Linked DNA regions of Caenorhabditis elegans. The protein of the gene in region 4 purifies or fractionates together with the protein of the main gene of each other region. This does not show direct contact. Each region holds a gene or a part of one and is shown on either strand. Other genes may lie near its edges. The genes, in order: srh-56, acox-3, Y54G11A.9 and clec-137.

Region 1 (7,936 bases), on a different chromosome or scaffold from region 4:
CTCACTTTATAACCTAGGACAAAATATAAAGTCATAGAATAGGAAGCAATAACTGTCACAACTCCAGTTCCTATCCACGCTCGGAAAACTATTCCTGAAGAGGCTTCCTAAAAGAATTGCTTCGATTTTATTTTCAGAGACATTTACCGCATATACTGCAATTTTTGTACTAATTGTGTTCACATCCACGCCGTATTCTTCTTGAAAAGCTTGTCTCACGTAATTCCTTGATTCGTCGCTCGAATACATAGTTGGCTCGACTACAAACGTCCATAGACCGATATGGAATATCACAAGAAAAATCGATAATATCAGACCGTATGGCATGAAATAATGACTAACAAAACTTGTATTTTTCAGGACATTATAGCGAAAAATGAAATGAATGTTGAGGATTCCATAGGTTCCAGCAATAAACGCACATCGCAAGGATATTAAGGTAGGGGCAAAGTTGGAACGCTGAAAAAAGGAAAAAAGTATTCGAAAAAACTCAATTCAATTTTAACTATTTTAAAGGCTCGTAGTTGTGCTTCAAAAAGATTAATCACACAATACAAATTTTTTTTGGAAATGTTTGTTTTTTGTTGAAAAAAACTGTAACCTTTTTCAACAAAACCGGTCGAAATGTTTTAGTTTTTTTTTTAATTACTTGTTGTAGATTTTAATTATTCGGATAACAATTTATGTAAATATAATATTGTTTGAACTCGCAATTTGAATCTCTATCATTCAAGATATTACCTCTGAAAAAACACTATCTACAATGAAGAATACAGCCGCATAACGATAGCTATAAACACACTGAAAAAATTGAAAAGTTTGGATTTAAAAAATTGAAAAACTTACGGCTGGTATCAAAATATCCACAACTGATGCAGTAAGATTAAAAATTGCAAAAAAGTATAAAAGATAGCGATAATCACCGAATTGAATCACTTTTTCCGTACGTATCAGATATACGAATACAGGATTGGCTATGAAAGACAAGATAAACGTTATTTTGGGAATGATAAAGTGAGCCCAGTTGATAAACATGGAGTGCGTAGAATATTCACCGAAAGCAGCTTATATGTCAAATGACAAAATTTTGGTTCTGAGAAGAATGTGTTGATACGTGCCTAACAAAAGAGAATGTACCTAACATTAATCTCATTATACATACTAGGTTGTCTCATTTTTTGGCAAGTTTTCACAGACACCTTATTAGTTCCCACGATGACATGATGTAACAAGGACATAGCTCAAGCACGGAAAATTTCCAGTGAAGCGTGAGTAAGTAGCAGGTCAGTGAAATCTCTAGAAACTTTTCACACGCTTCGATACTTGAAAATTTTTTTTTTCGATTTTTGACAATTTTTCGAAATTGTTGAAATTACTGAAATCGGCAATGTTACCTGAATTGCCATAATTTTCAAAAATGCCGAAAATTTTCAAAAATCTTAAATTGCCAAGACTGCCCAAAATGTTAAAAAACTTCCGAAATTGCCAAAATTCATGATACTGCTGAAATTGGTGAAAGTTCTAAGTTTGTCCAAATTGCCCAAATATTTTAAAACTGCCAAAAAGTTTGAATTTGCGAACATTGAAAAAAATTGTCAGAAATCCTAGAGTTATCGAAATTACCAAAATTGACAACTTTGCCGATATGGATAAATTGTCAAAATTGCTGAAATTCGTGAAATTGCCAAAATTTTTCAAAATTGATGAATATGCCAAAATTGCCAAAATGGCTCTCACTAGCAAGATGCGCATCTGTTTCCCGAGTGAAAATAGTCAAGTTTTGTCCAAAAAAAACATATTTACTAAATATTTGTAAAAAAATCTTGCTTGGCAAATAAAACGAAAATTTAAAAAAAACTAATTAGACACACTTCCATGTGGAGACGTCACAGGTTCCACGATGATAGTCATTCTCCGTTGTGAAAATCGTTGTCCAGGGATCAGACTTTTAGTGAAATCTCTGTATGGTTTGTAAATAAAAAGGGTGCAACAGGTGCATAGAAGTCCGTGATTTGCCATAATTAGCATAGCGTTGTTGTTGTAGGCTGCAAAAGTTTGGAACGTGTTAGCCATGTTTTGGCTTTTTTAAATAATTTGCACTTTCTCACCTTGATTATAGTAATTCATTTTGTCTGCATACATAGTGTAGGCCACAGGAAATGCAATGGCAATCCATGGAATTGAGATCTAAAAAAACACATGCTAGAATTAAATGTTTAAAATTTTAAAAATTTTGTGGTTTTTCAATTTGTCAAAAACATTTTTAAATTTTTAAAATTGAAACAAACCCATTTAAATTTTTTTTGCATTTTTTTGCAGTTTCATTTGGCTATTCCAGTTAATTTTCAGTTATAGTTATACTCACCTGAATAGAAACATTCTTCAGAAACTTTCGCTGAAGATTCTTCGTCGCCGCCGATATTTTGGCACTTGATACTAGTGTGAGGTGATAAACGGTGTGTAACAAAAAGAAAAAAGTTTGGAAAATAACAAATCCAAAACCAATTGTGATTGACCAGAATGGCAAGACCTCTCCGCCCTGCAGCAGTACATAGGTTTTTGGGTCCCAGAATTCGCTCGTCGGACAGGGGATTCTCTGTAAAATTAAGTTGAATTTGAAGACGGGTGTTAAATACACACGACCGAAAAATATAATAAACACTTCAAAAGTTTTTAGTTATTCAAAAATTGACATTTTTGAAAAAAATTGAAAATTCCCGCAGATCTGAACTCCTAGAATGTTTCAATATTATTAATAAGAACGCAATTAATTCAAAAAAAATCTTTTGGTCGACTTCCAAAATTAGGATATGTGAAAACTGAGAGTTTTCACATTTTTGACTTTAAATATAAAATTTTATAAAATTTTTTGAACATTTCTAATATCTCTGAATGGGCATTTTAGTACATTTTACTAACCTCCAAGACCTTCTGTCTCATTTTCAATTGGTCAGTGTCGTCTAGATAAAATGGAAGCATAACAACAAATGTGAATAAATAGTTTAATGCGAAATATGTTAAACGAGTTTTTCTCCGTTTGATTTTGAATCGAATCGTGGAAATTTGACTATGTTGATTTTCATAGAGCATTATAAAACAGACACCCATCACTGAAAAACATGTGGTATTTGAAATTTATATTTAAATTTCCTAAAAGATCCTAAAACTTACTAGTGACGGAAACCTGTCCCCAATACGACTGCCACTTGACACCTACTCCCAAATATCCTAGAAGCCCAAGGGGTACTCCGGAGGCACTCGGAAAAAATATATACGGCCCCGAGTACACTGTGAACATCAAATCGAGATTTGTGCTCCAAGCCAGGGATATTAAAAGTGGGATTTTCATATTTTTCATCCGCTTTGGCGTCTTTGTTATAACTGTGTAAAATGTGAATATGGATAGAGGAACTGTTAAAAGTGCTGTGAAATGATATGCATTGCGCAGATAGTCTGCCGAGCCAAAATAGGAGTAGGTTTCCCGGCAGTTTGAGGTGTTGTTGTCTGGCCATGCCATTGGTTTCCTGGAAGATGTTTAATATAATAGGTTTCGATAGGAATTCCGAAAGTGTTCACAAGCTAAGCGTTACAAGAAAAATTCCTTAAAAAGCCAGAAAACCAGAGCCTAAAAGTTCAAAGCCCCATTTGCATGTAAAATGATCCGCGCGGTAGAGTTGGACGCGCCGAAAAATTCTTGATCGTTGATGTAATACCACCGTAATCCTGCTAATTTGATAATTTGAGGTGCGGAGTTTTCAATTTTTTTTTCTCGGAAATTTATTTTTCTAGGAGGCTCTGACTTGGAGTTTCGATGTAATGCTAAATGCTGTGTTAGTGATTAGGGACATTTAAAAAGGGAAATGTGTTTTGTGACAGATCAAATGATCATCTAGGTTGGCGATGCAAAACAATACGGCAAAAAAGTGTAAAAAACTGATGTCTTGCAGCGGACATTTCCCGGGTTAATTGGAAAGTAAATGGGACCCCACATCTTTCCTGATTTTTTGTCCGGAATAGAGGCTTTACCAGAAAAATCTTTACAATTAGTTCTTCAATTTTTACAGAAACCTTTTTATTTCAACATTTCAGAATCCTAGGTTCAACAGCTGGAAATTTATCAATTGGACAAAAACTTGGTTTTAATTCTATTCAAACAAGGGCCTATTCAAAAAAATTGAGCTTCTTATCCACCTAAAAGTAACGTTTGATCCAAATTATCGGGCTAAGAAAGGACTAAGAGTAGTCGGTGCTGAAGATGAAGTCAAAATTGAAAATCAAAGGTTTGGGGTACATGTCAAAAAAAACAATTGTAGGAATTGCTAGAAGAAACTCAGCGGATTCAGTTCGAATAGTTGTTTGAAAAAAGTAGATCCTCATAATTTGTTCGACTTCTAATTTGACCAGAAATCTACTACACCGCAGTAGAAATCAGGTATCCTGCTGTGTTTTGTCTGTGGCTTCTTAGCTGCCGAAGCGAGAAAAATGCAAACAAACTTCGAAAATGTCATAAATTTATGCTATTTTTGCAAACTTAGTGACGACCTAACAAATCTAGAAAAATTGAACTTTCTACCAAATCTAAGTAGATTTTTTTGGAAACCAATAGATTTAGTTATATTCCAAAAAACTACATACTTATGAAACTCAGAAGTAAAAGCTTTCAAAATGTGACTGAACTCGCCAAAAAGTTCAATAAAATGAGCCGCGCGGTAGTTGTTTCACGCCGATAAACATTTGATCGTTGATGTAATACATTTCCACAAACCTGCTAATTTGATCAATCGGGGTACACAAGTTTCCCAATTTCCTTATTTCTCAGAAATCGTTTCTCCAGAAGGTCGTGTTCAAGTACTTTTCTGACTTGAATTTTTGATTTATGGTTAATTGTAAATGTTTCGTGACCAGGAATCTTTCAGAGAAAAACTTCTTCTTCATCAAATTACATAATTAAATGTTATTTGAATATTTAAACAATCTGATACTTATTTTAAAAGTATGGTAAATTTTTGTAAAGTTTTTGAAAACCTCAGGGGTCCTGAAGCTGTTGTGTGGTCGATTTTTCAATTTTTGAGGTATCAGAATTTAATTATAGGTACGAAGTTTTTTTTTAAGAAAACCACTGTCTGGATAAAAAATTATTTTTCTGCAGTGTTCCTACATTTTTTGTACGAAAGTTTTCTGGCGCCAAAATGAAAGAATTTACATTTTTTAGATTTACCTTCCATTTGGTGTTTGCGAGTCATAAATCGAATTCCACTAAAATAACATTTGCACACAATTTAGCACAAAACTTTATAGCCGCTAATTAAATCTTGCAACTCATAGTTTGAGTCCAAAAATCTGCGAGGACATTGAGCCTTAGATATTTTAGTTTAACCGAAAAAAAAACTCAAAAACTAGCATTTGTCTACATGGTCAAAGTTCATCTCTCACAAAACCGAAAAAAAGTTTAATCTGTATTAATTTGTTTATCGAGAGATACCCTAATCGGCACGCGACCTCACAGTCTGGCGATCCTCCCATTTTCAACACTTGAACGAACAAATTACATTGCGGGCGTGCGCGGCAGTATATAAATTTTTGAGATTCACTTTTAGTGACCAAAATCTAGTACTTGTCAAAAATGGGTAGATTCTCTGATAAAGTTGCAATAATTACAGGTAAGGGTTTTTTTTAGAAAATGTAGTGAAATTTTTCATCCAGTACCTTCAGTCATTTTGTAAAATAGTCTGTTCAATTGGGGGAACATATTTGTTTGGAATTTATTAAGTTTAACTAGAGTAGCGTTGAAATACTGTAATGGTACTTTAGGGTTACTGTAGGATTACTGTAGGATTACTGTAGTTGAGTTAAGCTTTTGAAAATCTCTTTTTTTTATGTTTTGGCAGACCAATTTGGAGATAAAGTCTCTCAAAGTATAACGTTCAGGCTCATCTTCCGGAATTGGTCGCTCCACGGCAGTCCTCCTTGCTCAGGAGGGAGCTAAGGTTACGGTAACCGGAAGAAGCTCGGAAAAAATCCAGGAAACTGTGAATGAGATTCATAAAAACGGTGGCTCCAGTGACAACATCAACATTGTTCTCGGCGACTTGAATGAGAGCGAATGTCAAGATGAGCTCATCAAGAGCACTTTGAGCAGATTTGGTAAAATCGATATTTTGGTGAGATTTCTCGACTTTTTAAAATTTTTGACTGTTCCATTCAGATTAACAATGCTGGAGCGGCGTTTGCTGACCCATCTGGAAAAATTGGCTCCGAGGCGGCGATTGGCATTTTTGATGATATGATGAAGTTGAACTTGAGAAGGTATATTTTATTTACAGGGGATTTTTTTAATTGTAACTTATTTTAGTGTTGTGGAGCTTGTCAAAAAGTGTCGTCCGCACTTAATCGCTAGCAAAGGGGAAATCGTTAATGTTTCTTCAATTGCTGCTGGTCCACAACCGGTGAGTAAAAGCGGGCCAAAAGCGGGCCAAAAAACGGGCGGCAGAGGGCTAATAACAGGCAACACGATATTTTATCTAAAAATTCGATACAGTCGTCTGAAACAACTCCTCTACAACTTACAGTAACATCATTTTTTCAGTACATCTACTACACTTACTACGGAATCTGCAAGGCCGGCCTGGACCAGCTCACCAGGAGCTTAGCCTTGGAGCTGATTCCCTTCGATGTTCGTGTCAACTCCGTGAGCCCTGGACTCATATCAACCAACTTCCTGGGCGCTGTAGGTATGGGAGATGATGTGGTGAAAAAGACGGAGGAGTACTACTCCACTCACCGAGATTGTATTCCGGCTGGCCGTACTGGAAAACCTGAAGAAATCGCATCACTTATCGCGTTTTTGGCTGATCGGAAATCGAGTGCTTATATCATTGGACAATCCATTGTGATTGATGGAGGGACCACTTTGGTTTTGGGAATGCCAAGTCATGATTTGTCGAAAGCTTTGGCTTAAATTTTTGTTCATATTTTCCTTTTTTTTTTGATTTGGGAATAAATACAGACTACCTTAATTCAGAATGGTGCGTCGCATAAGGAAAGGCGCTTTTTTTCAGAGAAAAGTATTTTGGCAGAAAATTTAAAATATGGATGTGTCCGAAATCGTATAGAAAGTTCTAGTTCTTTTTTTAAATATTTAATGTTTTTCTTGCAAAATTGTTTTCGGACAATTTGAATTTTCTACCAAACTGTATTCTGTTAAAATTTGAATTTCGCGCCAACACATTTTTTTTCTGGAAAATATTAATATTCCTCTGAGGGGGGGGGGGGGGGCTGAGCGCCTAATGTCGTTCGGCGAATTCGGCAAATTGACAAAGTGCCGGTTTGCCGATTTGCTAGAAATTTTTAATTCCGGCAAATTACTGGTTTGCCGATTTGCTGATTTGTCAGATTTGCCGGAAATGTTCAGAGGGATTTTTTAAGACGGAAACACTTGGCCTTTTTGAAATTTTTTTCCGTTTCCTTTCGATATTTTCATCGAATTTTCTTACTTTTCAAAAGATGTACGAACAGGATGCACGCAATTTTTCCGATTGAAATTAAAATTCTGAAATTTCCAAAAAAAAATGTGCAAAACCACAATTTGCCGATTTGCGGCAAAATTTTCAATTCCGGCAATTTTCCGATTTGCCGGAAAAAATGATTTGCCGCCCACAGGTACAGACGACAAAATTATAGAATTGTGTAAAAAATAACACTCACCACGCTTCTTGCCAAACGTTTTTCTTTTGATAAAAAGATCACATAAACTACGACTTTTATCTAGTTTTATCTATTGCAACTGATACGTTAGGACACAAAGCACACTTTGTAAGATTACTTAAAAGAAATTGAGAGAAACTATCATTTATTCGTGTGTTTTCTGCTGGCCATGCTTTCTCGATTTTCTGGCAAAGTTGCACTTGTCACCGGTAAGAATTGTTCTGTTTTATGT
Region 2 (9,351 bases), on a different chromosome or scaffold from region 4:
TTTCAATAAATCTCAATCTCAACTAAATTGATGTGAACACTTAAATTTCATTCAAAACTCCCCAATGCAAAAAATAAAGGTGTTAATGAAATTCATAAAATTCATGGCAAAACTTGGCGGTCAAAATATAAAATTTTGAATACTTGTTTATCAGTTTTGTTTCTATTGAATAATTTTTATTCCATTATAAGTTTTAGTTCGACTAAAATCATAAAGTTCTAAAGTTCAAAAATTAAAAATTCAGATATTCACTTTTCCAAAAATTGATGCTGATATACTCAACTGATCAGATATCACATATCAACTCCAAACTGTTGGACTCAGGTGTTTGTTCGTTTTATTGAAATTCTTATGGAAGTTTCTCTTTCCATTCTCCATATCTATAAAATCTTTCATAAACCACTAAATACGATCAAAATGTGGCATGTGTTTATTTTGGTGGCATTCCTTGCTGGAATTTGTCGAGCAGATCGCTCTGTGAGTTTTTTAAAGATTTTTTTTAGTTTTTAATAATTAAAAATTGAAGACATGTTCCATCAACGTGACTTGTCCAACTGGTGGTTTATGGAGTGAATGGGCTGATGCAGAAGGTGTCGAATGCTCAGCGAGTTGTGGTTCTTGTGCTAAAACTTATCCTGCGTTTCAGAGGAAATAAGTTGTCCTTGTGACAGGTATGATATGCTTGGAAACTTCCAAAATTAGATTTGCTCACGCCATTCACCAGGAATAGTATCATTAAGGGTGGAACACAATTTCTCCCCAATTATTGAGCATCGATGTGTAACCAAACCTGAAAAAAATACCTTGCAAAACACTTCATTTGAGTAGTTTTCTATAACTTGTGAAATTTCAAAAAAAATTCCACTCCAAAAATTCTTGTAGAAAATGCAAAAAATCAAGGATGAAAAAACTTTCCTACCATTATTTATGTACATCAGAATATTTCTTTTCAGTGGAAATGCAACTCGCTACTATCCGTGCAACACATAACCATGTTCATATCCAGCTCAACGTACTTGTTGTATTCCATATGTCTCAATGGTTCTGAACGGAACAACTCAATGTGGACCACTAACAACAGCCGCTGAAACTGCTGCATCTGTTTCTAACTCAACATATAATTGTTGTCCAATTGGAGGAATTTGGAGCTCTTTTTCCAGTTACGGAAGAAATGATGGCGATACAATGTGGATTAGAACGCGAAGATGTTTATCAGAAAGTGCTGGTTGTAATTGTACAGGAAATAATACTGAATCTACAACAACTTGTCCGTGTAGAGCAATGACATCAATTGAATCAGGGTTAGAAAAACTTTCAATCAGTTTCACATGTGAAATGGGTTCTTTATACTGGAAATATGATTACAATGGAGATTATATTAACGGATGGTATCAAATGATTATTGTTTGAAATTTGATAAAAATTTGTGTTATTCTATTTTTAAAATCTCGAAACAAAAAATTTTCAAAGCATTTTGCACCTACAAATTAAAAAAAACTTTTTACCGTTTCCCATTGATGGTATAACACTTTTTTGAAATCACGCAACATTGGTATACGGAGCTTCAGTTGTGTTCGAGCTTTTACAGCCTTTCTGAGCCTTTGTAGAGTTTCCTGAAGTTATTCGCACGCAATACAAAGTTGACATTGGAGAATCAGACGGACGAGTTCTGAAAAACTTTAAGTTTTGAAAATTGTATTTTTGAAATTATTTGTCATCGTGCGAAGAATTTCAAACGGAAGACCTTTTTGATGCACAACCCTTTCAAGCCAATTAGCAAATTAATGAGAGTTGATAAATTTATAAATTCTCCAGATATGTGAAATGGATTCTTTATCACGTGGAGAATAGAAATTAAAAATAAAAGTCGTGAGCGAGTTAATCTTTGTATTCATCGACTTCGCGACAACATTGATACAATAATATTGTGAGAACAGTTTTTAAAGTAAAATTAGAAATTGGCGTGGAAATAAATTAAATTTTGGTGTTATTTCATATAAATATTATTTTATAAATACATTGTGAAAGTTCTACAATGATTTTTGGCACTTAATAAATAGTTTTAAACATTTTCCCCGTGGGCGCTATCACTATTTTAAATTTTCCCCGTTTCACATTAATCATATAAATTCATTTAAACTAACGCAACATTATCGTTTTGGTTCTAAATGAGAAACTATTTTCCAGTGTTAGAAGCCTTTTAAGCATTTCCTGACATCCGGGTACCAAAGTTTTAATAAATTTTTTCAATTAAACATTTAAAAAATTTTGCCGTTTCACGTCGACGATATGTATAAATCTGAAAACTTTGCTTATACGTTTAGATTTTTATTTTTTGCAAAAATTTTAGCTTTCAAAGAAATTTGAAATTGTTTGTATATTTTGAATTTATTCAAAAACTGGATTTATTGGGAAATATACAGTTTGTGAAATATTATAGCTTGGATCCTTGTGATCTCTTTTGCAAAAACTGAGCCAAATCGCAAACCCATCTTGGTTGTTCATTTGTATACTTCCGGAATTCTTCCATTATATGCTCGTACGCTCTGAAAATCAAATTTAAAGTTCAGCAGAAACCTTTACATTTTAAAACTGACTTTCCATCAGATGCTCCCAGAGCTGAATGTAAAATGAAATCATCTGGAGCAATCGAGTCCACTAAAGCAATGGCCTCGGGTTTTAATTCGGCTACAGCGAGTCTAAGCTTCTCTCGAAGATCTTCTCCAAACTTTCCACCAGAAGCATATCCAGTAATATAAAGAGTTGCAAGATGTCTTTCCAAAAGGAAAAGTGAGAAAAGATTCAAAACTTTTTGAAGAACCGGCTTCACACTTTGATCTTCAATTTCTTTCAAGAACTGTTGAACCCAATGGATCATTGTATGTTCTGTGTATGCAACAGACAAATTGACAGCTCTATGAATTTGAATTTCATTTCGAACTTCGAATGAATTCTTTCCAGATGCTTTTAGTCTGTAAGCTTCTGCCGAAGTTGTTTGAAGTAAGTGATAAGTGAGATATCGGTACGCAGACAACACGTCATTAACTGGATTCGAAGACCATGATGAGAACTTTGAAGGTTTTTGATTCAAGAATGACATAGTAGACATCGGGGTCTCAATGGATCCAATTGATTGAGCCTGAACATCAGAATCTCAATATGATTAAAGAATCTGACAATTAAGTTTACTTTTCCTAGCAAAATATTGCTGGTTTGTTGCAAAATCATAAAGTTTTCTCCTTCAAATGTTTGTGATGGATCGTTGTCATCTCGGAGGGTGTTCAATCGTGACATTTGTAGGTATCTGTAATTTAAATTTTAACTTTAATCTGGAAAAAATAGAAAGACGAATTCTCAAAAAATGAGTTTCTTAAAGTTAAGTTTCAGGTTATGTTAGGAAACATACCCATGACCTCCACAAGCTTTTCTAGCTTCTCCAAGGGATTCTACACCAAGCCACGTTGCAACCGGTTTAGCTCCAGACGACAATGCATGTACTTCTTTTGAGAACTCGGAGAGCTCGTCTGACTTTTCTCCCATTATGACTCTCATCATATATTCAGTGAAATGTCCGACAAACCTATAAAGTTTAACTAATTATTGAAAACAATTTGTTTAGAGTTCCCACTTCTTCTGGAATATTCTAATGCAAATTGCAGCGGATAGGTACGGGAATAGACGATACTGTTGAAGTGGATACTCGAGAACTGGGATCTCATTTTCAGCTGAATTATACAAAAGTTGAGAAATTGAGAAAAGGAATGGTGCTCACCGCCTTTTACTGGTCCAAACTGTCGCCGAGCAACACTGTATCGAATAGCAATTGTAGATGCAAAAGTGCAAGCCATCATTCCTTTTGCGATAATTCCGAGTCTGAAATTTGTGTTATTGTGAAACCATTGTTGGTAAAGTTTGAATTTTGAAACAGTATTTTGTTTGAAAAAAATCAATCGGAAAAACTTATAGATTGCACTGTTTTCCCAACTTTATGAATTCGTCTGCTTTTACAATTTCGAATTGTCCTAAGAATGCCATTTCCATTATTTCTATTTGTATTAAATACAATGGCTTCACTCTAGAAAATCAATTCATATTTTAAAAGTATCGATTAAAGCTGGAATAGATTCGTTTTGAGATTTTGCTTTTATTGATAATAAGGCTCGGCCGTGAAATTTGCATCTTGTATCTACTAAAACTGAGAAAAAAACAACACATTTAAAAAGTTGGTAAAACAGCGGCTAGAAATTCTTCAGAACCTGATTTTTTTAACAGAAATTCTTTTAGATACAAATTTCACTCAATTAAAAAATTTTTCTATACGGCCGGCGTCGTAAAGTATTGAAAACATACCTTCCAACTGACAATGTTCCCAAACTGACACTCTGCTTCTCACTTGCAGATTTGAAACTTGTCACATATTTTCCATCCGGAGTAATATCACAACCCTTATTCAAAAGTGCACTCAGAGGAGCTCTATGGTTCTTAAACTCCATCCAGCCATTTTCTACTCCCTGCCAGCATCCTGGTTTCGAGCCCATGTCTCCAATGGTAATTCCTGGTAGAGTTTGGAAAGTTCTAGGGCAACGAACTTGAATCACAAATCCATGAAATCCCTCGTTCTTTCCTTCGACATGAAGTTGAGCATAAACAACTACGTGAGTGGCCGAGTGAGCTAAAAAAATGGATTTTTTTAAATTTAAAATTAAAAATGTTTTAAAACCCACCGAGATTTCCAGCCCAACATTTGATTGCACTGACACTTGGAGTATTGAAAACAAGTTCTCCATTGTCAAATGTAGCTGTTGTTTGAATTTCAGCAGTGTTTGAACCATGGCCTACTTCTGTCAGACAAAATGCTCCGACGATCTGAAATTTGCTATTTTGCAAGGAAACCTAAACTTTCCAGATTTGAATACAATGCGCTTTTGTTTAAATTTCTTTAGAATAAATTATTTTCAAATTTGTTTTGATTTTTCTTTTTCTTGAGTACTTCTTAATTTTGTATGCTATTTTCTTTGAAATTCACCTCATTGTTTTCAGTTTTCTGAATCAAATCCTTATGTCTATCTGTTCCCATTGACTTAACAGCTGCTCCAAAAACATTTCCGTGGAGGAAAAGCCTTGCAGATGTGCCTTGATCATAAGCTTCAAGAGTTTCAGTCAATGCATGGAAGTTTTCAAGATCGGAGTACGGCTGAATATTCGAATATATTGAAAATCTACAATTTAATAAGAAATACATCTTTGAACAACCCCCATTCGACAATTTTCTTCCATCTCTGATGAACAACTTCTCTTTGCTCTTCTCTACTCAATACTCGATAATCTCTGTGAAATACTGGTTCTGACTTCATTTTAGCAACTACTTCTGACTGAAATATATATAAATATTTTATAAATCCAAAATCTACTATACCTTCAGTCTAACATGTTCTTCTCCTTCAACGGCTGCTTTCAATTTTTTCCAGTCGAAAGTTGCCATTTTCCGGTATTTGTCAATTAAAGGAGCACTCATTTTTGATCTGAAACTGAAAAATTTACTAAATAAATCCTTTAAATTCAAAAGATTCATTTTATTTTCAGCAGAATATATGTTAAAATAAACTGAACAAAATTAAGACAAAAGCAATTGCATATGTACTGGGTAGGAAGAGTGTAGTCTTATCAAAAACAAAGAAAATAGAAAGTAATTGAGAGACGCAGAGATCGAAGACAGTCTGACTACAGCGTGGTGGTATTGTATAAATAGGGGGAGGAATGGTCTTTTAAAATTATCGTAGTAGATTGTAATTAGCTGGTGTTTGTAAAAAGGGTCAGAGGAAATTAACTGAAATTTTACAGAAAATTCATGTTTCCTTGTTTTAAAGTGGGCTCGGAGAGAGAATGTGGACAAGTAAATAGTTTAAAACAACGTAGTGGATAATAAAAAATTTAGTATTATTTCCATAAGTGTAAAACATGTTTTTAAATAAAAATACGCTAAAAAATTTCTAAATACAGTTTTGGCGAAAGTGGGGGTAACACATTTCCAGGAGCGTACTGGTCAAAATAAAAATTAAATTAAATTAAAATTAAATTAAAAATTATTAGCACTTTAACTTCAATATTTCATACTTTTACAATATTTTCCAACATTTTTGCAGTTTAGACTTTGATGTAAACATTTTTAGCGGTTTCATAGTTTTCCCGAAATCAATTTTGGCTGAACTACCAAAACTTGAAATTACTGATAATAATAATAGGTTTGCTCTGACTTGAGCAATTATATTAGGTGTCCGATAAAACCTACTCATCAATTTTGTGGAATTTGGAAAAAAATGTGATTGCCAACTTTGTGATTTTGTTGAAAACCTCAATAGAGAGTTTGCTTTTTCTTCGAATTACTAGATGCGTTTCACTATTTTATAAGTTAAAATAAGTGGAACCACAAAGTTCAGGCAATATTTTTCTATCATTACTAACATTAACAAGAAGAGATTAGTTTAATTCATGATCAAGACTGTTTTTACGAGATCTTTTTTTCAGCTGAAGTTTCAATATCAAAACAGAGAAAATGCCTCTGTTCATATAGTATTCGTGAAACAGCATAATAATTTTTTTGTTTAATTTAAATTTGAACACAAGAGTTGGCCAATTGAAGCATGATTGAAATACAATTAAAACTATTTATTTTCCATCTTTTTTCATAATTTCATAATCTTATTTCCCTCTTCTCAAACAAGTCTTTCGTTTCATGATCTTGGCATAAAGAAGAGCTTGAAAACATTTCTAATCCTTTTTTCCTTTTTTGCTAATCTCTCAAAACCTCCTACATTTCAATAATCTCTAGCTCTAACGTCACACATTCTGAGCTTTTGAGAGAGTCAGAGAAGCCACAAACCCGCCCATTTTCTGAAGAAGAAATCACTCATTCTGCCTTCTTCGACTGCTTGGTGGCGGTCCTATCTTCTTTTATGCAATATATCATACTATGTTATTTTTCTGTTATTTTATTGCTTAAACATCAAGCAATTAGAGTAAGTTAGTAGTATAGTGGGAATAGTTGTGCAAAAGACTTAAAGTTGCGCATTTTTGCAAATTTCTCGGTTGGTCCCCCGTTTTAGAATAATTGAGGAATTTCACTGAAAACCGTGTGTGCCTATTAATTATTGCTTCATGTGTGCCAATGTTGCGAATAAGTTTCTGGCATTAATTAGTGTATAAAACGTTGAAATGTGTGGATCGTAAAGTTGTGCATTGAAAACGGGGATCCGAGTTGTGACCGGAAAACTAGTCGATCTGAAATTTCACACTACACATTAATTCACAATTAGCTTTTCACAACTCGTCAAACTATGCGTACAAGAGCTATTTTGAACACGTTTTAATGTACGGGAAGGAAATTCAAAACTCCACTCTAACCGCGGCCGGTTTCTATCATGACCCTGTGATTGGCGACCACCGTAGTCCTGGGTTTCAACAGCGTTGTGCCTCAATTTACAACCAGGACGAAATACAAGTTGCGGCAAACATTTCGATTGACTTGATGAATCAGCCGCGAGTGCTCTTGAACGGTTGTAATGTGAAACTTACAGTTTACCCAAATGATAGTAAATTTTTGATTGAGGTTTACAATCGCGACAACAACACAGAGTTTCAGTTCAAAATAACCGACGTTTACGCTCTGGTTAACGAATTCGATCTTGCCGACGGTCTATCTAATGCTCTAGAGAGCTCCATTATTGAGCACAAAATAATCCAATATCCTCTAATATCTTCACAGGTGCGCAGTTTCTATATAGAGTCTGGACGTCTTGACGCGCCGGCTAACACACTCTTCACAAGCAAGATGCCCCGTCGAATTTTCATTGGTCTTGTTGATTCTGACGCGTACAATGGCTCTTATGATAAATCACCATTCAATTTCAAACCACATGGTATATCTGATATACATGTTGATTATTGTGGAATGACACTCCCCGGCCGCCCTTTTGCCTTAGATTTTGACAGAAACAAGTTTATGGAGGCATACATTCAACTTCAAGAAACCCTCGGTCACTCGCGAAGCAATTCCACATGTAATTCTATTAGCACCCAAATGTTTAAAGAAGGCGGATATACGATTTTTGGTTTTGAATTGAGTCCCGTTGCTCAGGACACTTCACTATTTGAGTTGGTGCGACAGACAAACGTCAGCATTCGTTTAAATTTCCGAGAAAAGGTTCCCGTCGGCGGTCTTTACTGCATAGTATATGCAGAATTTGACCAAATTTTCTCACTTGATTTTATGAGAAATCCGATTGTCGACACTATAGTTTAATTATAATTAGATTCTTCGTATTTGGCATGTTTTCCTCATTACCGTTATTGTTGCGTTCCGTACCATTCAGGCGTGAAAAGATGTTTTGGCTTTCAGTACCAATCAAGCGTGAATATAAAACGTGCTATAAGTTGTTATGGAGCTCATCACACACACACACACACACACACACACACACACACACACACACACACACAGGCAGAAACAAACAAGACCACTACCTCGAAGTTTAAAAAAGAGTGCATACACGAAAAGGGTTGCATTTCTGGAAACATACACACTTTCTTGTATAGCCTGCCTCCTCCACTTTTCAGTTGTCTTTTCGAATAGCCACAATTTTCCCTTATGTGCACCGCATTTACAAACTGCCTGTCATTTTAGATTTTTGTCACGATCGGGAGTGGTGCGCGCAATGAATCCTCTGTATTCGGACCCCCGCCCCGCCGTGGTCCCGCAACCGGACTTGTACGGTCGCTATCACTGGTCTCAATTAACACCGTCCCCACCAGCAACTGGTAATTTTTCACGTGTGTAACGTTTAAAAACCTATTCTTTTTGCAGACTCTGTGGAGCCCACTGTGACACCAGAATTGACTACACAAAATGAAAATGCCGGTCAGTTTTCCAATACGGTTGAAAAATCAAGAAAACCACGCAAGAAATGCACCAAACGCAAAGTGTTGAACGATTTCGTCTCTATTCAATTGTGCACCACATGTTTGAAACGTGCCAATTTTAATTCACCATTGTTAAGTTTAACCTTGTGCGAACCTTGCATTTTTCGTAATTTCAAATGATTTTCCAATAAAATTGTTGTATTGAATTTTGTTTAATAGACACTTTTCTCGAACCGTTGTTGGCGCCTAACAATAACCGATTTGTTGTCCACCCGATTGTTCACCGCGATATTTGGGAATTTTACAAAAAGGCCGTTGCCTGTTTCTGGACTAGCGAGGAAGTTGATTTGGGAAAGGATATGAGCCATTGGGAAATATTGACTAGTGATGAGAGACAGTTTATTTCGTCTATTTTGGCATTTTTTGCCGCTTCTG
Region 3 (7,540 bases), 9.7 Mb from region 4:
TTGCTTACCGTATTTCTTCTATTAATATGGCTGCAATACTATTTTTCGATGGTCTTCCCGCTTGCAATACTAATAGGGAGTGCAAGACTATTAGGGAGTGCAATACTAATTTTCAGAACATTTTTCTGACTATGAGCTTACTAGTTTTTTTTCTGAAAAAACTCGAACCTTGTGTGAAAATTCAGAAAATTTGATTGTAATTGCAACAAAAAGGTGTAATAACTTCAATTTCATAGAAATTTTTCCAAAAATTGTTGCACAGTAGGCAAAACATGTTGTTAAAATCTCAAAATTAGTGAGTTGATTTTGTACCAAAAAAAAGTAGACGCAAGACTATTAGGGAGTGCAAGTCTAATAGGGAGGCCATATTAATAGAAGAAATACGGTATTTTATCAGCATTTTTCAGAAATAGCACATTTTTCAACAATTAATCATAGGAAGCCCCGAAAAAAATGAAAATTATCGCACTAAAAAGAATAGAACTCGTTTATTTCTTGACGTTTTTTTGAAATTTTTGTGATTTATCAGTGCAAATTTCCGTTACCAACGAAAGTTGGATTTGCGAATGAAGAAAAAAAATTGTTTCAGCCGATAAAAAAGCCTGAAACTGGCAATATAAAATTTATATTTAAAACAATTGACGTGAAATGTTTGAAATCTACTGGATTTTCAAATTTTAGTCAGATAACGTGAACTTTGCAGTTCGAAATGAAACTTAGCTCTAATGATAAGAGGGAGGGATTGCCACGTAAACCCCGTTCTAGGACAGTGTGAAAGGGTACTTTTGAACTATACGCACTTAAATTTCCATTAATTTATCGGTTTTAATTAAACCTGATACCCATTTTAGGCTGAGGAATGATGTTTTCCTATTAAAAAACACCATATAAGCCTAAAACTACAAAAGCATTCCACACGTTTTTATTTCATAGTTTAAACAATTAATTTTTAATAATACACAAGTACCAAAAAAAGTTTTAAATGTTCAATTTTAATATTTAGTATTCATTAATTTTTCTAATTTTTAATTAAAACATTTTATTCTTGCAAAGCTTACCGATTTTTGAGCACTAACGTTGCTCCAAAGTTATTGAGCATATTTATTGTATGTGCCGAGCTGGCTCCGTAGATTTGATACGATATCTGAATCAAGGGTGTTGTTTTTCTATTTTTCGGCTTTACTAAAAGTCAAAAAAAAATTTCGGTAAATTTACCATAAAATATTATTTTTTTTTAAAATCAAATTTTGTTTATATTGATGAGGAAAAACATTAAAAGGGGTACCAAAAAGAAGCACAATGGCCAAAATTTTAAGCTAATTGTTGAAAATTGAAATAATATTCGAAATATCGGAAAATCGAAAATGGAAATTTTTCGATTTTTTAAAAAATTTTACAGTACGGTATTTAAACATTTTCAAAGTTTCCAGTTAACAGTGCTGCACAGCAGCTCAGGTTCAGGGTCGACTACAAACCTTCATGACTTCATCAATATATTCTTCAACTTCTGCCATCCGGGTCTCTCCGCAATAATTAATCAAAAAATTCGCGTACGCTTCTAACGTCATTCCAAAAAGTGCAATCGGGTCGGTGTACATTGGTCCAAACGTATCGACAGTGTGTCGGTCTTCGACAAGAGCTCCGTGAGCAACACTGAAACATTTTTCTAAACTTTTTTAAATACTTTATACAACAAACCTAAACTTTTTCATATGCTCTTCCATAACCTTCATTTGTCTTCTCACACAATGCTTGAAACCACTTTCCGCGCTTTCGAGATCACCTCGATGTGCCAAGATGTCGGCAAGTTTCAGAGAAACTCCGATAAACTCCGGGTCAAAATCTTTTTTTCCGTGAAGCTGAACGAGGCGCTGAATTACAATTCGAAAATATTTATCGGCTTCGTCCAAATTCATTTTCTCGTAAAAAGTATTGGCCATTTCATCGTAGACTCGTGTGATTGGCATATCTTCTTTCCGCTCTTCAGCCTCCTCTAGTGCCAGTTGTAGTACTTGAATTGCATCGTCGTACTGGCGTCGTTTCCGGTAAAGCCAAGACTGGAAAAAGAGGAGGGTCTCGCGAGGAAAATGTTTCTGTACAATTACCTGTTTAACCTTCTCTTTCAATGGATCAGCATCCAGCTGCACCTTCTCAATGCCCAACACATCCTTGATAGTTGTCATCCATGAGAGAGCGAGTACTGTAGTTCCGCCGGTCGCTGCACTTTTTCCATATCTACTGAAATATTGATCTTAAGAATTTTTAACTCAATTTAATTTATTTACGTATGCGTAGAATGCGTATTACACAACATATTTGCCGAGCAAAATATCTCGTTGGGAAAATTACAGTAATTCTTTAAATGACTATAGTATACTGTAGCGCTTGTGTCGATTTTCGGGCTCAATTTTCGCTATATTCCATTTCCTTCGTTTCTTCGTATTATTTTCTCATATTTTGCTTAATTTCAATATTCTATCGATAAATAAACGATTTAAATTAATTTCGAAAATCGAGCCCATAAATCGATACAAGCGCTGCAGTAGTCATTTAAAAAAATTGCTGTATTTTTCCCTACGAGATATTTTGTGTCGAATACGTCGAATATGTTGCGCGATACGCATTCTCGGAATTTTGTGTGCTTAAAAAAGAATCTGAAAAAAATTTGTTTCCAAAAAACTCACGACCATCTCCCGCCACCGTTGGTTTTTCCACCGCTGCCCCCATGACGATGATGCTGCTGTCGTGACCGCCCCGAGCTATGATGCTGACGTGTAGTCCCGGTGGAGAAGGCGGCCGCCACAGGACGGACCGTAGACGTACATAACTTGGACATGGATGGCAGCATCTGCATTTTTTTCAGGTTTAGGAGACATTTGAATAAAGTGAATCATTATTAAATAGAAAATACGGTGGGAAACCGGAGGGAATTGTAAAAAACAAAAAAAAATATCTGAAAATCTTATTAATAATTTACGAATTTAACCCGACTCAAACAACGATCTCAAAAAATTGTCTACTACTACAAAATCACTAAATAATAACTAGAAAAAAATTCCTAAAGATAAAATTAATAATTACAGAAAAAATACAGGGACAAAGGGAAAATTTAATCCATTTTCGGCGCAAAACTTGATCCACAAGAGCATCCTTTTTCGGCAATCGGATTATTGACAATTCGAAATGAAGATTTCATTAAATCTTCCACGAAATCCACGGTGGCGCCTTTGAGAAAGCCAAGGGAGAGCTGAAAATTACAATTTTTAAAAACACAGAAAAATTGAATGCTTTAAATTTTTGTTACACGAAAATAGATTTTTCTAATAAACTTTTTTAATTGTTTTTCTTATTTTAACATTTTTCAGAAAATTTTTTTTGAATCGAAAAAATTGCCTTTTGGGCGAAATTTTCTAAACCGTTGTTTTTAATTTTAAAATTTTTCGGCAAAGTTTAGAAAAAAACCGAAAAAATTGACTTTTGTGAGAAATTTTTTTTGAATATTCGCTACGATTTTTCTCATCAATTTTAACATTTTTTACACGTTTTCACCTCATCCACCACAATTTCAGCTCCATTCTCTGATGATTTCCATAATAAATCGTCGTTGTTAATTTTTTTGTCCAATCGAATTTTATACTCAAATCCCGAGCATCCACCTCCATCCACCTCAAGTCGTAGGCGTTCTCCGTTATCAACGACTTCCTTGAAGAATTAATTTTTTAAATTAAGGTTTTTTTCTAGTCATTGAAAAAAATTGAATTTTCGAACAATATTCACAAAATTTTTTAACTTTCTTTTTTGAAAATCGGGGTTTCTCTGAAAAGCACTACAAATCAAAAGTATACAATTTTTTTGTAAAAAAAACACCGGAAATTAAATGCTTTGAAAAACTTTGAAAAATAGGAAAGTGCCGATTTTTTTCCGAAAAAAAAAACTGGAAAATCGAAATTTCTCGTTTTTCCATTTACAATATTTCTAATTTTCAAAAAAATTGGGCGCCCAAGGACAGACTAACTTTAAGCCTGCTCGCTGCCTTATTCGTCACTTTAATCTCTTGCTCGGTGAGCATCCGATGAGCCTGTCGGGTTACTGTACAAGCCATTAGTCTGCCGATTTTTTGTGTGAGCATTTCGAGAAAATTCTGAAAAAAAAATCTGAAAAAAGTTGAATTTTACATCAAAAAGATAGATTTTCGTGATTTTTGAAACATGGAAAATATTTTTTTAAAAATGCCGAAAAATGAAAAAAAATTATTTTAAAAATTTAGTTATTAAAGATACATGGAGAAAAGCACCTATTTGAAAGAACGTAAGGCAAAGCAAGATTATTAAAGCAATTTTTGGGCAATAATTTGGGGAGAGGGTGAGTGTTGAGATTAACATTGTTTTGGAAATTTGTCTGAAAACGGAAAAAGAGATAATAATGTACATATAGGGATATCTAAAAATCTAGAACAAAGAATAGAAGAGAAGAAGTTAGAAATGAGTATACATGAACTGGAAAAAAATAGAAAAAATAGGGATTTTATGGTGGAAAATGCAAACTTTTCAGCGAAAATTTCAGTTTCAAGAAAAGATCTTTCAATATTGCTACAAAAGTTCTATTTTCTCGGCTAAACTAATCAATGTTTGCAGAAAAATGCGAACTCTTGCAGTAAAACATTGAGGCCACACGAAAAGGGGAGCAGAACGAAAAGGGGATCTGCAAAAAGGGGATCTGCGAAAAGGGGAGATACGAAAAGGGGAGCAACGAAAAGGGGATCTGGCACTGTGCCAAGCGCTATTTTTCTCGAAGAAAACGATACAACGATGCTCCGATGTTACGCGTCGCGTGTTGTTAAGCGTATCTTCTAGAAGAAAATTTCAAAAATCAACGTGCGTTGCGTGAGAAAAATTGCGTTTTGTGCGTTTGGCACAGTGCCAGCTCCCCTTTTCGTTGCTCCCCTTTTCGTATCTCCCCTTTTCGCAGATCCCCTTTTTGCAGATCCCCTTTTTGCAGATCCCCTTTTCGTTTTGCTCCCCTTTTCGTGGGGCCTCAAAACATTTTGATGCAAAAATTTTAGAAATATTGTTTTAATGTCCATTATCTATATTACGGGAGCACATGAATGCGTATTGCACAACATAATTGACGCGCAAAATATCTCGAAGAGAAAACCACAGTAATTTTATAAAGTACTACTGTAGCGCTGGTGTCGATTTACGGACATCATTTGAAAACATAAAAAAGACAACAAAAAAAAAAACGAAAAACCAATTCGAACACAAATTTGTATAAAAAATAAAAATATATTTTTTTGTTTGTTTTTTTGTTGTCTTTTTTTTGTGTTTTCTTTCGATATTTCATCGATTAATAAATGATGTCCGTAAATCGAAACAAGCGCTACAGTAATATTTTAAAGAGTTACTGTAGTTTTCGCTACGAGATATTTTGCGCGTCAATTATGTTGCGCAGTACGCATTCTCGAAATTTAGTGTTCCCGTAACATTTAGTTTTGTTGTGGCTTTTTTCGTATTTTTTCCAAAAATTCTCGAATTCTTGATTTCTACAAATGTTCCGTCTTTTTTATCTTCGTGGATTTGTCGAAGAAGACGGCGTCGGGAGTGTTGGACTCTGCTGAGTGGATCGAATTCTCTGTCTTTCGAATCTCCGCTCCATTTCATCCAGGAGTTTCGGCATATAACGGATCACTAGCTTTACACTTCCGACTGCGGATTTCAGAAGATCAACTGCTTTTTCGTGGCATTCGGCTTCCACGTTCTGAAATTTTTTTAAAGTTATTTTTTTGAATCAAAGTTTTTTTTCTAATTCGAGTTATATTCTTCTACTAATTAAAAGTGTAGTTGTTTTCAATTTTAAAAAATGAGAATAAATTGTTCATTTTTTCGAAAAAAAATATTAAGAAAAATTTATAATGTTCTTTTATATGGAAATCTTCGTAAACCGAAAAATTCTGTCTTTTATTACTGGTTCCTTTACTTTTTTCCGGTTTATTTTCTGAAAAACACTAAAAATCTGAAATCTTCGATAAAAAAACACTTAAATTAAAGTAAGTTTCGTTTTTTGCTTAAAAAAATGAATTTTTAGATTTTTTTTTCATTGAAAAACATTGAAAAATCAATATTTTTCGATGTTTTTTTTCCGAAAAAAACTAAAAAAAAATTGAATTAAACATTTAACCCACCACTCCGTTGACCGCAATAAGTTGATCGCCTCGTTTGAGACCTCCGTGTCTGTCGGCTACGCCACCAGGGATTATTCTGCAATTCAAATCGTTTTTTTTAAATTATAAAATCATTAAATATTTTTATATCTGCACCTGGAGATGTAAATCGGTGAATTTTGCTCCTTGCCGCCCATAACATTGAATCCAAGCCCTTGATCGGTTTTTGGGAGCTCAACGATACGTGGATGCGCGTGGCCTTCGGCTGCAGCAAACGCCGCCACTGTTGCTTTAGCTGTTGCGGCGGCTTTTATCTGAAAAATGTTTAGTGTTTTTTTTTGTTTTCTGTTGTTCAAAAACGGCTCAAAATTATTTCGAAAAATAAAAAAACTACAATTTGAAATTTCGACAACTTTTAATTATCAAGGTTGGCGGCAATTGTCGCTCGGCTTTTTTTTTGCCAAATTCGGCAAATTGCCGATTTGCCATAATTTGCATTTCCGGCAATTTGCCGATTTGCCGAAAATTTTGATTTTCGCCGAACTACCGATTTTCCGGAATTTTTTGTAGGGATTTTCATTATACGGAAACACTTAAAACTGTGCCTTTTTGAATTTTTTAAAATTTAAATTTTGAAAATTCCAAAAAAAATGTGCAAAACCACAATTTGCAGATATGGCGGAAGTATTAATTCGGACAGTTTGCCAATTTGCCGGAATTATCAATTCCGACAATAAGCCGATTTTCCAGGAATTTGAATTCCGGCAATATGCCGATTTGCCGGAAATTTCAATTCCGGCATTTTTGTCAGTTTTATCAAAAAAAACTGAACCTCTGGCGTTGTATCCGCATCAATTGATTCATAAACAGTCTCATAGACCTCTCGGACGGCACCGAAAAATTCGGATTGTAGCACCTGCTGCAGCGATGCCAATTTTGCATTATTGACCTCTCCAGTCTTCTGAACGTGCTCCATGAGCTCTAGAATACGCTGAACGTCCCGCTCCAAATTCGGACCATCCGGGTTATCCATCTGGAAGATTTGGTTGGAAAGGAGGGGAAAAATAGGACGGAAATAGGTAAAAATGGCAAGAAAACCAATTAAAAATTACAAAATTAAGCTATCCAGAGCGGAAAAACATTATTTACTATTCTAATTGACCATAGCCCGTCAGAAAATTATTAAACACAACAAAACCAAAAAAAAAATCGACAAAAAATTAAATTTAAATTTCATGTCGCAGCGTGTGCTTCTGAGACAATTCCAGCGGAATCACATTGAACGTCATTTTGTACAAATCCACGTCTTTCCTATACTCGTATCCCTTCATCTCCTCAATTTCATAGTCCGGATCGCATTTTTCCTGGGAGATACGA
Region 4 (7,289 bases):
ACAAAACAATTTTCGTTTCGATCCGCTCTTCGATCATGCGATTTTTTTTTTTTTTTCATATTTGTATTGATTGAAAAGACATCGGTGTCCTAAAAAGTTTCCAAGAAATTTGGAAATTTCAAAAACAAAATTAAATTTTTGAGCAGTTGAAAAAAATCATAGTTGCAAAAATCCTAAATCCGAATTAAAACGTAATTTTCAAGTGCGCGCACAAATTCGGAGTTTTTTACTTACAATTAATTTTCACAACTTCCAAGAACTTTAATAAACCCTTCACATGAGGAAGTGAGCATTTCAAACCATTTGAAAAACATGAGAATAAGTGCATATAAATGTGTCAATACTCTCGACACCTCACTTGAATTGAAAACTACAAGTGTTCTCTCTCTTCACTCGAAACCAGTGATTCATACGATCGTTATGGTTTCGTGTGTTTATTAGATTAAGTATCTTTCAATTATAAATTAATGTTTCCTTTTCCTTTTTTTGGCAAATTTTGGTCACTTGAATGTTCAGTTTCATTTTTTGCCAATCATCTTTTCTAAACGTCTTATTGCCAGTTGATTTTTCCAATTTTTTCAAATCTTCCAGTACGTCACAAAAAGATGCATGAAACTCAAAAGTTTTCGGAGTGTTTGATCGCTAGAGATTTCCTATAAAACCCACATTACTTTCAACAAAATGTGTTAAACTCTCAGCTGGGCCTCTCGAAAGTTCCCGTTTTTTTGGGGTTTAGTGTATTTTGGCATGTGTTTAGATCATTTTCTTGCCATAAAGTTTTCATTAAGCTCCAGGCATGTGTGCTTACCTACATACATACCTCGAACCTGTCTGGCCTACTTCAGGAGTTTGTTGGCACGAGGTAGGCCTAGATTGCCTTGAAGGCACACCGGCAGGCATCTTCTGTTGCTGATGTCACTAGGCTTCTCCTTTCACACTTACTTTAACCCCCATTTCCTGCTTAACCATTCATATATATGTATAATACAGTGAAAAACCTCCCAACCATAAAAAGTTAATCATCATCACTGTAAAAAAAAATTGACAAAAAATCCAGTCCCATCTATTTCCTCCATCATCTCTAAATCGCGTATTACCGAATATTCGCATCATATAGACCGTGTCGTGTTTTTTTTCTATGTTGGAAAGGATAGGGATTGATGTACTTATGTATAATGGGGGAAACGAGACTCGAGATTTTTTTTATTCGCTTTTGTTTTTTACAGTTTTCACTGTTTTGTAGGGAATTTCAATGTTATTTTTTTAATACTAAGTTACAAAACTATAGAAAAAATTGAAATTTATTTTTTCAGCTGACAATTTTCAATCAAAACTAAAGACAAGGTGCATCACATTTCTAGGACCCACATTTCTTATAAGTTTCTCAAAACAATTAAAGTGGATGTCTTCCACACAAAACTGCTTCCACGTCGTTTCCATATGGTTTTTCATCGTCTGTATAAGCCTGCACTGCATTTTTTCCCACACAAAACTCCAAACTTCCCCAATTCTTTCTTGTTTCTGTGCCATTAGCCTTGACAATTCCAGATTTTAGAACAATGCAATCAGCGGCGAATCGGAATCTGTAATATTTGATTTTTTATGATTTCACGCTATTTGATAATTATGTCTAATTTACATTGGACCATTGTCAGCTTGATGAACCATATAAGCAGCTGGAAGTCGACGTTTGTAATGGCTCAGCATGAATGTAGTGTCACTATTGACATCATCGAACAAAAATAGATTATTCTTGATATTACAATCTCCTTTTTCTTCTGTACTGTTGAATCGATGACGAAGTATGATTTCGACTTTATTAATACGACCGTTGCATTTTGGAGAAATTTGACCGTCAACAGCATAAGGAGCTTCAATTCCATGAGCTCGGGCGATTTCTGAAAGTTTTTGAAGATTACAACACTGAAAATGTTTTTATTGAAAAATATCCCTACCAGAAAACACTTGAATCTCGTGCTCATTTTCTGGAATGGTCAATGAAGCGTTCACATAACTGCAAAATGATCGAGCTCGGTCTCGGTTTCCCATGTTCTTGAATTGGAAAACCTGAAATATGGTCATAAAGCATTATGAACACAAAACCCAAAACTTGGAACTTACGCCCAAACACCAGTCCTTTGTATGATTGTTCCTTGCAGTTGGGACTCTCTTGACATGAGAAAACCCTTCTGGGCATTGTGGATCCTTTGCGAAAACCGCAGTCAAAAATAGCAAAAAGAAAACGAACATTTTTCTGTCAGTTTTGAAAAGTTTCGGCGGGGTTTTGTACCTATTGAAATCGATAAAATTGTGACTAAGCCATGCGGAGCCATTATTTTCCGACAGCATTTGATCGTTTCAACAAAAGCGTGATGTTCAACAACACCCACAAAATGCTCTACCGTAGTATTTATTCTTCTAAACATTTTGATTTGGACGTAGCAGATGCTTGTTGTACCTATTTTCTTGAGGTTTATCATAAATTATACATTATAAATTTACTCTAAAAGTTTTCCGGAAGCCAAAAAAGAGATAATGTAGAGCTCTCCGATTTTTCTTGACACAGAAAATAGGAAGCTTTGAGAAATTTTTTACAATTTTTAGGCCGTATTATCAACAAGATGGAACTTAAAAACGAAAAGTTCGAGACGAAAGTTAAGATGAATTAATTGACTTTTAGTTTACAAAAATGGTATACACACTTGTCAAAACTCTGTAAAAGGAAATGTTTCGTTGCGAAAATGATTTAATTGTAAACCCGCACAGGGATTTTCGTCGCCTAAGAATAACCTGAAGTTCACTTGCGGAAACAAATTGGGTGTACCTTATCTTTTCAATCAGCTAAGGTAATAAGAAATATCAGAAAGATTTCGGAAATATAATATTTATTAAATATTGAAAATTAATCTTTCCAGAAATGATAGAATACATTTACTTAGAACGGCAATCGGCCACAAAGAACGGCGGTGACATTTTTTTCTGGTAGCCTCTTGGAGCCAGCTAGCTGTCCCATACAATCCATCAAATTAGTGTGCCCATCTTTTAGTGTTCCATTAGAATAGTGATACGATCCTTTTTCCAAAACGGTACAATCTGCTGTACTGCGATACCTGAAAATGAAATGTTGGATGCAAATAGGAAAGTCGATTTTCAAAACTTACTCGATATCATCATCAGCTTGTACACTTCTTACGTTTGATCCTGCCGAAACACCTAGCTTTGTGCGAATGAATGAAGTATCCGTATTAATATCATCATATATGAACAATTCATATTTAATATTGCAAATTCCTTCTTCAGAAGTTTGATTAAATCGTTTTGCACCCTTTACTTGTCCTTTGTAAATTGCGAATTTGCATCTTGGAGAGAGTTGTCCATCAAGAGCGATTGGTACGGAAATGTTTCTCAAGCTAGCAGTCTCTGGAAATTTTACATTTTTCCGCATGCAGCAATAAAAAAATCCTCAAAAACTTACTAGAAATCACTTCGAGTTCGTGTGAATTTTCTGGAATACTCAACGACGCATTGTAATAGATACATACTGAACGGGCTCGGTCGCGATTTCCCAGATCCGTTTCATTGAAAATCTTGAAATATCATTTTAAAACTATTTAGGTGTCATTGATATGAACAACTTACCCCCAAGCACCATCCCTTTGTAAAGTTATTTTTTGCCGTCGGTGTTCTCTTGAAATACGTAAAGTTTCCCGGGCATCTTGGATCCTTCGCAGAAAATTCTGGGACTGCCAAAAATAGTAGGAATAGAACTAACATTTTATACTGAACTTCATAGAAGGCTTTCAGCATGCTTTTGTACTAGTCAAAAGCTATAAAACAGTTGTTCGCCCCCTGTAGCGTTTCCGATTCTGCGGAGCCATTATTCCCCGAATACATCAAAATGATACTGTATCTCGGGGCTGGATAGCGGAAACGACGCATTATATTTCTTCATCAGGTTGGATGATTTCATTCAAAGAAATTCTTATATAACACGTAGGTTGATAGAAGTTGTCAAGAATATTGAAACCATGCGCTTTGAAACAAAAAAATATCTGATCTAATAAAGATTCTAACAAAAGTACCCTCATTTTCAGCCCTTTTATCAAAAACATTTAACACCAAAACTGTAGAGAAATTTGTAACACATTCTTTGTCAGCTTATAATTTTTGGTAAAACAAAACACAACCTAGTTATTAGCCGTCAAAATTGAGCAACTGAGTGCAAGCCTATGACTAACATAAGGCCCTCTTGCTTGTTATGATACCTATCCAAAAATTTATGTACACAAACATTTGTGGTTGAAAACAAGACTTTGAAGCTAGATTTTTTAAAACCAAGCTTTTGTCGGCTTCCGAGGTAGAATATAAAATGATTTACAAGAATAAGTTTTTTTTTGATTTCAAGCTTCGAAACTCTTGATTTGTTACAGGGTAGTTTACTTTTAAAATAGTCCTGTCTCTGTAAATTTTGAAATATGATTAGCTCCAATCTTTAGCTATCAAAAAATACTTATTATGAAAATTATGCATATCCTCGACTGATGTTTGTTGCAAAATTGGTATTTTCTGATATAATCACAAGTGATGAATTCGAACAACAACTCCAAAATATTTATTAACAACTGTCTTTTCTGATCAATTAACTCAGAGAGGGAATCTTCCACAAAGAACACTACTATATTCGTGTTTATTTTGCTTATCCTTTTCCCCAAAGCATCCGAGCAATTCAGTTCGTCCATCTACCGCATAGAAATGTGTTCCATTAGAAAAGTAATAGTATGCATCTGTTAATGCGTTACAATCTCTGGTGAAACGAAATCTGTAAATTGAATTCTAGACTTGTTTGACGTTGAATCTAGAAATTTTCATACACTTACTTTACTCCGTCCTCCTGACTGGAGTATCCTCCATTAGTTCCAGCCGAAGTACCTAGTTTGGAACGGATAAATAAAGTATCTGTATTGATATCATCATATACAAACAAATGATTGTTAATATTGCAATCTCCTTCCTCTGTTCTTTGGTCAAAATATTGTTGGCTCTGTTCGCCTCTGAAAATAAGGGCCTTGCATCTTGGAGAGAGTTGTCCGTCGAGTGCAATCGGGAGGGAAATGTTCCGTGCGCGAATAACGTCTAAAAATTAATTACACATTTAGAAGCATATTTTTCCTAGCGATTTTGAATTGAAGACATGTCTTTAAAAAAAAACATGATCAACTTACCAGAAACAATCTCAAGTTCATGTGAATTTTCTGGATTGCTCAGCGAAGCGTTATGATAGAGACAGACTGAGCGGGCTCGGTCACGATTTCCCACATCCGTTCCATTGAAAATCTTGAAAGTGTATTTTAAAACTGGGTACTGTCTCTATCAATAACGTACCCCCAAGCACCACCCCTTTGTAAAATTATTCTTAAAAGTTAGTGTTCTTTTGACAAAAGTAAAGTTTTTTGGGCATCTTGGATCCTTTGCAGAAACCGCCGGAACAACCAAGAATAGTAAGAATAAAACTAACATGTTATGAAGAGTTCAAGAAGAAGCTTTCAGTATGCTTTTGTACTAGTCAAAAGCTATAAAAAAGCTGTACATCCCTTCAATGATTCCGTTTCTGCGGAACCATTATTCCCCGAATACATCAAAATGATACGGTATCTCGGGGGCTGGGCGGAAATGACGCATTTTATTTTTCTACCTATTTTTCAACTTTTTCTAGAGGGAAAATTTTTTATAACACAAAAAAAATCGAGTCATGATATACATTTTCAAACTAGGCATACATTGTAAGAACAATTTATATTGTGCCTCGAGGACAGATTTCTCTGAAAAATCTTCAAAAAATTCAAAAATTGTTTATACATTTGGCACTAGTTAAATAATTTTATACTGGAGCACATCCACACAGAACTCCGAAGAATGGCACCTCGCCGACTTGTTTGTCTGGTTCTTCGCCGCACCTGAAATTTTTTTAGTTTTGGGTTTGAAAATCCTGCAAAAAAAAAACTCACAAAAAATCCTTCAAATTTCCAGTATTCTTGATTGCCTGGAGATTATGTAGAGATAGACATTCAGCGATTGTGAAAATTTCTCTGAAAACTAGAACATGAAGCTTTTATCCCACTGGGTTCCTTACGTAGAGTCCCCCTTCTCCTGATACTTGTCTGATGAAGTTGGCGGTTCTCCAGACCACTTTGTGAGAATGAACGCTGGATCGGTGTGATCGTCCTCCAGAATAAATAGCTAAAACGATCGGGATACTTGAAACACACTTTTCGAAACAAAAACCTCTTTTTCTTTTGCGCAAAGTCCTCCAAACTTTCTCATTCGCCAGTCGCTGAAACCTCGGCATTTTGGATTGAACACTCCGTCCACTGCGACTCGTTTATTGTTTTTTCGAATTAAAGCTGAAATTTGTGTTCAGTTTTAACTTGCCTAAAAGTTGTTTGTCAGTTTCTGTCGGCTTTGTTGTGCCTTTTAGCATTTACATTCAATAACAATGACGTTGCATTTACATAATTTGTTTGATAAATGATAACAGTGATTGGCTTTAAGCATGTTAGTAAATACATAACTTTCAGAAAAGTTTTAGCCGCCGGCTCTATTTTTTCACATTTTCCAAATTTTTCAAAAAACCAGAAAATTCGCTTTCCAAAATAGTACGAATGCTAATCGCTGCCTCCAGGTGTTTGTTCAGCTTGCGAGAATTTGTAAAATGGCATCACGCCGATCGTATTTTTAATAAGAGACGAGAAGGGCGGGTAGGCCCTATTCTACTTGTCTGCCTACAGGCCTACTTACTGTCTTCTTTTTTTGTCATTTGAAGTATTTAGTTTCAGTAAAATTTAGAAAAAATTCCACGTAGAAAAACAGCATGTCTACAAAAAAATTTTCGTCACAACCGAAACCCTTCTATTAGATTTAAACTGCCAATTGAAAAGTAGGTAAGTGGGCATGCAAAAGGCAGGCGCCTGTCACCTTGTAGGCAAATATTAGTCAACTGGAAATTGTTCCGTTGGACTTTACATATAATTTTTCTAATTAACAATACTCTTATTTATTGAGCAGCTACTTACCATTGATATCATCCAGCTCCTCTTGGTTCTCGACATTCGTAATAACTGCGTCATAATCTAGGCAAACTGATCTTGCGATAGGTCGATCATAGACATCCTCGTTTTCTATTACCTGAAAAATTAAAATTAATTTGAAAATTAAGTTTGTCTCATTTCTAAATTCAGTAGCGGGCAGAAATTTGGGATCGCGATAAACCACTAAACTTTTGAAAAATTATT

The links.
Region 1: the proteins of clec-137 (region 4) and srh-56 fractionate together in Caenorhabditis elegans (co-fractionation; one large-scale study listed by BioGRID). This does not show direct contact.
Region 2: the proteins of clec-137 (region 4) and acox-3 fractionate together in Caenorhabditis elegans (co-fractionation; one large-scale study listed by BioGRID). This does not show direct contact.
Region 3: the proteins of clec-137 (region 4) and Y54G11A.9 fractionate together in Caenorhabditis elegans (co-fractionation; one large-scale study listed by BioGRID). This does not show direct contact.

What each region holds. Positions count from the first base shown.
Region 1 is NC_003283.11:2,767,441-2,775,376, reverse strand, and holds srh-56 (Serpentine Receptor, class H), read right to left. Parts: upstream 3,518-7,936; coding exon 3,172-3,517; intron 3,111-3,171; coding exon 2,920-3,110; intron 2,597-2,919; coding exon 2,366-2,596; intron 2,188-2,365; coding exon 2,109-2,187; intron 2,046-2,108; coding exon 1,858-2,045; downstream 1-1,857. Other genes in the region: srj-18 (Serpentine Receptor, class J), read right to left, coding at 6-107, 148-459, 742-801, 847-1,035; dhs-15 (DeHydrogenases, Short chain), read left to right, coding at 5,624-5,660, 5,929-6,161, 6,206-6,306, 6,353-6,446, 6,587-6,958; cror-2 (DeHydrogenases, Short chain), read left to right, coding at 7,874-7,913.
Region 2 is NC_003282.8:6,242,965-6,252,315, forward strand, and holds acox-3 (Acyl-coenzyme A oxidase acox-3), read right to left. Parts: upstream 5,529-9,351; 5' UTR 5,516-5,528; coding exon 5,417-5,515; intron 5,373-5,416; coding exon 5,241-5,372; intron 5,195-5,240; coding exon 5,027-5,194; intron 4,867-5,026; coding exon 4,725-4,866; intron 4,673-4,724; coding exon 4,351-4,672; intron 4,190-4,350; exon of another isoform or gene 4,169-4,189; intron 4,040-4,168; exon of another isoform or gene 4,018-4,039; intron 3,874-4,017; coding exon 3,773-3,873; intron 3,726-3,772; coding exon 3,629-3,725; intron 3,581-3,628; coding exon 3,407-3,580; intron 3,305-3,406; coding exon 3,190-3,304; intron 3,140-3,189; coding exon 2,598-3,139; intron 2,547-2,597; coding exon 2,435-2,546; 3' UTR 2,394-2,434; downstream 1-2,393. Other genes in the region: F58F9.1 (uncharacterized protein), read left to right, coding at 8,712-8,814, 8,861-9,096. UniProt on the Caenorhabditis elegans protein: Involved in the first step of peroxisomal beta-oxidation by catalyzing the desaturation of fatty acid-derived side chains of ascaroside pheromones, which regulates development and behavior.
Region 3 is NC_003280.10:14,341,597-14,349,136, forward strand, and holds Y54G11A.9 (Core domain-containing protein), read right to left. Parts: upstream 4,142-7,540; 5' UTR 4,130-4,141; coding exon 4,016-4,129; intron 3,703-4,015; coding exon 3,550-3,702; intron 3,248-3,549; coding exon 3,110-3,247; 3' UTR 2,949-3,109; downstream 1-2,948. Other genes in the region: ddl-3 (TPR_REGION domain-containing protein), read right to left, coding at 1,059-1,144, 1,476-1,653, 1,699-2,057, 2,106-2,238, 2,685-2,848; Protein lin-7 homolog, read right to left, coding at 5,566-5,760, 6,185-6,260, 6,320-6,477, 6,996-7,196; Y54G11A.17 (L51_S25_CI-B8 domain-containing protein), read right to left, coding at 7,390-7,540.
Region 4 is NC_003280.10:4,614,284-4,621,572, forward strand, and holds clec-137 (C-type LECtin), read right to left. Parts: upstream 3,808-7,289; coding exon 3,640-3,807; intron 3,588-3,639; coding exon 3,476-3,587; intron 3,421-3,475; coding exon 3,162-3,420; intron 3,111-3,161; coding exon 2,936-3,110; 3' UTR 2,869-2,935; downstream 1-2,868. Other genes in the region: clec-136 (C-type lectin domain-containing protein), read right to left, coding at 1,394-1,583, 1,640-1,898, 1,956-2,067, 2,122-2,250; clec-138 (C-type LECtin), read right to left, coding at 4,645-4,819, 4,878-5,133, 5,223-5,334, 5,383-5,517; clec-139 (C-type lectin domain-containing protein), read right to left, coding at 5,879-5,954, 6,006-6,086, 6,131-6,237, 6,283-6,401, 7,071-7,182.